2 linked regions of the Lonchura striata genome follow. The protein of the gene in region 2 interacts with the protein of the main gene of each other region in a pairwise test. Links are inferred from orthologs where the notes say so. Each region holds a gene or a part of one and is shown on either strand. Other genes may lie near its edges.

The links.
Region 1: the proteins of NAIF1 (region 2) and SOX14 interact in binary tests that used the Homo sapiens proteins (3 or more experiments, as listed by UniProt). The two-hybrid records come from large-scale screens. The link is inferred for Lonchura striata from reciprocal best matches to the Homo sapiens genes NAIF1 and SOX14.

What each region holds. Positions count from the first base shown.
Region 1 is NC_134612.1:5,765,183-5,767,976, reverse strand, and holds SOX14 (transcription factor SOX-14), read right to left. Parts: upstream 1,816-2,794; coding exon 1,093-1,815; 3' UTR 719-1,092; downstream 1-718. UniProt on the Homo sapiens protein: Acts as a negative regulator of transcription.
Region 2 is NC_134624.1:787,944-791,645, forward strand, and holds NAIF1 (nuclear apoptosis-inducing factor 1), read right to left. Parts: upstream 2,540-3,702; 5' UTR 2,529-2,539; coding exon 2,018-2,528; intron 1,178-2,017; coding exon 714-1,177; downstream 1-713. Other genes in the region: mitochondrial adenyl nucleotide antiporter SLC25A25, read left to right, coding at 3,432-3,702. UniProt on the Homo sapiens protein: Induces apoptosis.

The sequences.
Region 1 (2,794 bases), on a different chromosome or scaffold from region 2:
CTGCGGGCGGGGGTCGCTCCGGGCGCGGGGGCAGCGGTGTGGGACGCGGGGCTGCGTCCCCGCACTCACAGCACGCACTTGCCTCGTTTGATGACAGATTGTCTTTATTCAAAACGTCTTTGTTCAACAAATGAAAAGGTTTAACGAGGTAAAATCCTGCCGGATACATCTTAGTTTCTGTTTCTTCTTGCCCAAGACATTGTGAAAACATATTTAAATTGCCATCGGTTTTTATTCGGTATTTCGTTAGTAGTAGTAGTAGTAGTATTAATTTTTTTACAATTCTACTGCCTGACTTCATACCTGACGCTCTGTCTAAAGTAAACTTAGATCTAGTCTCACTGGATCACACAAATTTAAGGACTATCTGTTTTAAATTAAGCAAACACTATCATAGGTTTTAAATATAAGTGTTTCTCCCCTTCTTTTTTTTTTGTCTTTTTTTTTTCTTTTTTAACTTTGAAGAGCCTTTTTTCTGACATGAAAAGCAATTTTACCTAGTAATACGTGGTGGCAAAATATATATATATTTATATATATATAACACAGCTGATCTCGTTTTTCAATGTGCAAAAGGAAAACAACGAGGGGGAAAAAATAAAATCAGAGTAAGACCGGTACTTCCCAAAGTCAAGTCCAAGTGACATGAGACCCTGGAGAACTCATAGACATTAAGAGAATAAATAAAAATCGAAACCGCCTGTCTCTTTTTTTTTTTTTTTTTTTTTTTTTTTTTTGTCTTTTTCTCCCCGCTTTGTCCCGAAAGGGCAGTTCAAGGTTCGCTTTGCTTTTCTGTTTTTAAACACATTTACAACTCTTACAAGTGCCGGGCTCCTATCTGCCCCCGCGATTGCAGATCCCCCCCGAGCCTGGGGCCAGCTCTCGTGGCGAGCTTTAGGCGAGAGCATCTCCGAGGCAGCGTCCGCGTCTGTCCCGGCCCGGCGGCGGGCGGCAGAGTCCTGGTTCGGGCGGCCTTTTGCTCCTGCAGGTTTTATGTACATGCACACACGGAGGATTCCCAGTTCCAGCTGCCGGCCGGGGTGGGGGACACACGCACACACACACGCCTGTGGGGGTGCGGGTGGGTGGGTGTTACATGGCAGTCGCGTGTGCTGAAGAATAGGGGTCTATCCCAGTCTTGGTCATGCCAGGGAATAATATGTAGGCAACTGGAGGTTGCAAACTGGAAGCCGACCAAGCGGTACAGTTACATGGCACGACATAGCCCGGGTTAGTTGGCGAGGGGTGAGTGTGGGTGTGTTGGCTGGGGCAGCTCAAGCTGCCGAACGCCCCGTTCTGGTATCCCAAGGTGGAGGCGTAGGGCAGGGTGCTGGTGGCTAAGGTGTGAGGAACCTCAGTCATCTTCTGAATGGCGCTGGAGCTGAACTGGCTGGGGTCAAGTAAGGAGTAAGGTGCTGAGGTGGGAGGCAGGAAAGCCCTGGCCTTCTCCGGGGAGCTCAGCAGCGAGTCAGTGGCCCCCACGGGAAGCCCGGCGGCCTTTAAGGGATCTGTTTCCCCGAGGTAAGGCAAAGGGAAGACATACCTGTCCTTTTTCAGCAGGTTCTTGGGCTTGCGCCGGGGCCGGTACTTGTAGTCGGGATGCTCCTTCATGTGCTGCGCCCGCAGCCGCTTGGCCTCGTCGATGTACGGGCGCTTCTCCGCCTCGGAGAGCAACTTCCACTCCGCGCCCAGCCGCTTGCTAATCTCCGAGTTGTGCATTTTGGGGTTCTCCTGGGCCATCTTGCGCCGTTGGCCGCGGGACCACACCATGAAGGCGTTCATGGGGCGCTTGATGTGGTCGCTGGGCTTGGACATGCTTCGGCCGGGCGGGCGGGCGGGCGGGCGGCTCTGGGGGCGCCGGACGGCGGCGGCAGGACCAGGAGGACGAGGAGGAGGAGGAGGAGGAGGAACGGCGGGAGAAGGCCGGGGGAGCCGGAGGAGCGGCAGGAGCGGGCTCAGCTGATCATCACAGGTCCTCCGGCAAGGCCGTCCCCGGCGGGAGCCGTGCCGGGGCGGGGCGCGGGGCTGCGCGGAGCGGCGCGGAGCGGAGGCCCGCGGGGCCCGGCGGGCACTAGGCGGGCGGGGAGCCGCCGGGCGCAGCACCGGGCCGGCGGTGGGGACGCGGGGCGGTGCGGGGCAGTTCAAAGGCGCGGGGCTGCGGCGGGCAGGCTGACATAGCGGCAGGGCGGTCACAGAGCGGCCGGGCGCCCAATCAGCGCGGAGGGGGCCCGCTTAAAAAGAGAGGGAGAGAGGAAGGGCGAGAGGAAGAGGAGGGGAGGGGACACAGGAGGGAGGAGGAGGAAGGAAGGAGGGGACAGGAGGAACCCCCCGCCCCCCACCGCCTTCTAACGCGCGGATTAAAAGGACGGCTTTTGTGAGTTGCTGCGCTAATAGCAGCTGTGGAGGAAGGGGGATGGAGAAGGGGGTCGTCCCCATCTTCCTCATCCTCCCCCATCCCTGGGGTGCGCGGAGCGGGGCCGGTCCCGGCGCCCTCCAGGCTCCGCCGCCGCCGCCGTCGGGGCTGCGAGCGCCGCGCTCCGCCGTGCGCCCGCCGCTGTCCGCGTCCCCCCGCGCCCCCGTCCTCCCCGCGCTCCCGGCCGCTCTCTCGCTTCCCCAGCCCCCGCCTTCCCCGCTCCGCAGCCCCGCTTAACCCCGGGAGCCGGCCCGCGTCCCGGCTTGCTTTGAATAATTGCCTGCCTCCCGCGAAACGCCCGTGGGGAAAATATTTATTAAATGGAAACAATTGTCCCGGCTCCCGTGGGGGACCGCGTTTGTTCCGGGCTTATTGGTTTTT
Region 2 (3,702 bases):
AGGGAAGGTTCTACCACATCCGGTACCACATTTCCAGTAAATGCTTTCAGCAAGAGCCAGAAATGCATTCACTGTTTGCACTGTGGGTTCACGATCACTGTACCTTGGCAGCTGCAGCACTGATATCCCGACAAAACTCTCCACGTTAGAAGTCAGTTAAAGGCTATAGATCTCGAGAGAGAGACAAAAAGAGAGGTAAAATACTTAGGACAGATTTTTTCCAAACAGAAATTAAAAAATAACTTAAAAAAATAAATCTATTGTTTGAGGAACTAAAGCAATTCATGTTAAGTTGCTGTCTTATTACACATCCTGCTATGGCTCAGAATGAGAGTCTGAAAAGGCAGATTAGCACAAGATTAGCAGAGAAAGCTGTCTAGACTCAGCCAAACTCCAAGGGAGCCATTCACACTGACAAGAGGCAGCACCCCTTGCTCCCAAGTGTCCTCTGCCAGCATGGGTAGGTTTTTGGCATGGCAGATATCCCACAGAATCACAGACTTTGAGATCATTGAGTTCAATTGTTTCCCCAGCACTGCCACATCCACCACTAACCCATGTTCCCAAGTGCCATATCTATACATTTTTAAATCCCTCCAGGAGTGGTGACTCCACCACTGCCCTGGGCAGCCTGTGCCAGGGCTTGGCAACCCTTTCAGGGAGGAAATTTTTCCTAACACGAATCCAAAGCTCCCCTCCCATCACTGTTTCTTTCACTGGATCATACCATCTTGCTGCCCTGTCTGGCCAGGGTCAGTGGTGACCGATGGGCTGGGTGTATTGCTCTGCAAAAATCGACGGAAGTCCTTAATCATGGGGCGGAGGACCTGGATGAGGGCACTCAGCGCTGCCTGCGTCCCCTCCATGGCCTGTGCCTGCCGCTCCTGGGCACATGCCTGCACCTCCTGCGAGCGGCGAATCATCTGCAGCAAGTCATTCTGCTGCTCCAGGTGCTGGGCAATCTCCTTCACGTGCAGGTTGGTTACTCGCTGCTCCTGCAGGAGCTTGGCTGAGTTCAGGGCAATGCGGCTTTTCAGCTCCTGGGGCTTGGCGGACACCTCGTGTTGGTGGGCCATCATCTCCAAGGGCGCCTCCGCAGTGACGGTGGTGGGGGCTTCCGTGGTGCAGTACTCCACAACCCCGTCCTCCAGACTGTGGTAGGTTGTCTCTGCAGGAACTGAGAACAAAGGACAGAAAGGGAGTCAGGAGTAGCTGTGATACAGGATTTTTATCTACAGGACTATTCAGTGAATACCACAGGAATACGGCCTGTTCAGCGAGATAACATACAACGGCCAGCAATGCACAAAATGACCTATTTAAGTCTACTCCACCCTCACTCGAGCTTCCTTCTGGGCTGTACAATCCAAAGGAACAGGGAATGCCTTATCTGTCTAGACAATATAATTTCTCAATCTCCAGTTTAGAACAATCTTTCCAAACAGCATTAACTGACTGACACAACAGCAAAGACCCTGAATGGCCCCTGTTGGCAGAAGAGCTGCACCTTGGGAAACTGCACGCTGGAAAATCAGCCCTGAAGAAGTTTTTCCCTGTGCTTTTGTTCCCAGAGAGGGACTGAAGAATTTCCCAAGGTGCACAGGATCCTTGATTCCCTTATCCTCAAGGCTGAGTCCAGCTGTCAAAGCTGACTTTCAGTACCTTCATGTCCTGTGGCCACTCCTACACCACAAGGGCAGAGTGGGAGGAGCATTTCATGACAGAGATGTGGGGATTTCTTTCTGTTGGGGTTTCGAGATCTCCGCCCAAAGAACCCGTGGGCACCCTATCCCTGGAAATGTTCAAGGCCAGGCTGGATGCAGCAACCTGCTCTAGCAAAAGGTGTCTCTGCCCATGGCAGGGGGCTGGAACTGGGTGCTCTTTAAGGTCCTTTCCAACCGAAACCACTCTGTGGTTCTGTCCCCACACAAGCTCGGGGCGTCCTCGCAGGGGGGTGTCAGGGCCTTCGCTGGCCCTGCAGTGCAGCGCAGAGCGTTCCGGCGGGCGCAGCACTCACTCTGGGTCAGGGTGACCGTGGTGGCCGAGGCGGTGATGGGGATGTCGCTCCCGTCACCCACGCCGCAGTCGCCGCTCGGCAGGCTGATGATGGTGGCCTCTCCCAGCAGGTTGCAGATGCGCTGCTGCATGGGGGTGAGGATCACCGGGGCGGCCGCGCCGCCCGCCGGGTCCTCGCCCTCGGGCCCGTTGCCGCCGCCGTTCTGGCTCTCGCCTCCCCCTTCCATGGCAGCCCGCACTTGGGCCACTTTGCGCCGCACCTCGGTCTTGAGGTCGGACCACTTCTTCTTGACCTCGGGCAGCTCGCGGTGGCAGGTGGCGACGGCGTTGACGCGGCGCAGGATGTCGTGCCAGGCGGCGGCCTTGGCGGCCAGCGGCACGCCCGCGTTGAAGTGGTTGACGAGGAGGTGCTTGCCCCGCTCCAGCTCCTCCACGATGATCTCCACCTCCCGCTCCGAGAAGTTCATCTTCCGCTTCTTGGCTGGGGGCGCCGGCGGCGACGCCATGGCCATGGGGGGCAGCGGGGACGGGGCACGGGGTCACACCTGAGGGGGCCTGGGGGGCGCTGGGGACGGCCGAGGGGCGGCAGGGCCCCCCCACCCCCGGGGCCGGGGACAACAGGGGGGCCCCGAGGCCCCTCAGGGCCCGGAGGGGTCGGTCCCCCCCGCTCCCCCTTTGGCACCGCCAACGATACGCAAATTGCGTACGGCGCCCGCCCGGCAGCCCCGCGCAACGGCCCCCGCCCTGCGGCACTGGCGTAATGGCTTCCAGAATCGGCCCCTCTTCCTGCCACGCCTGATTGGCTCGCCCGCCTGTCCGTCACACGAGTTGCCCGCCTCCCGTCTGTATTACCGCAGTACTATTGGTCAACAGCCCTGTCCATCAGGCAGACAGGAGGCGGCCCCGCCCCGCCGCTGGTCTCAGGGCACTGGGCCTGCGTGGGGCCGGCGAGGGGTTGGGCCCGCCCGTGGATTTCCTCGCTCCGATCCCATTGGGTGCTGCTGCTGTCCATCACCCCAGAGCGCGCACTGCTTTCCAACCTACCGGGTGCGCGCGCCGTCCGTCCAGCTCAAACTGCCCGGCGGCTCCGGCTCTGATTGGCCGCGTTCTGCCCAGCACCGCCTTCCCGCGGGCTGCAGCCAATCGCGGCCCGGCCCGCGCGCCCGCCCCGCTCCCTGTGCATCACCCCAGACACCGCGGCGCTCCCTTCCCATTGGTGCGGACGGGGGCGTCCCCTCTGACGTCGCGACCCGCCGCTCCGGGTGGGCGCCGCGGGGCGTGTCCCAGGGCGTGTCGCTCGCTGTGATTGGCCGGCGCGGGGCGTCACGTGGCGCTGGCGGCGCGTGGCGCGAAGGCGGAAGCGGCGCCATTTGCCGGTGCCGCGGGCGTGAGGGGCGGTCGGTGTCGGCGCGGCCATGCCGGGGGCGCGGCGCTCTCTCGCCTCCCCGGTGGTCAGCGGCGTTCTCTGCCCATGCGGGTCCCCGCACGGATCTGCGGTGGAGAGCGGCGGCGGCGGCGGGGGGAACGCGGGGTCCTGCGGGCGGTCGGTCTGCGAGGCCTCCGAGCAGGACCGCCGTCTCCGCGCCTTGTTCCAGAAGCTCGACGTGAATCGCGACGGCGCGCTCTGCATCCACGATCTGGCCGTGGGGCTGGGCCGCCTCGGGCTGCACCGCACCGAGCTGGACC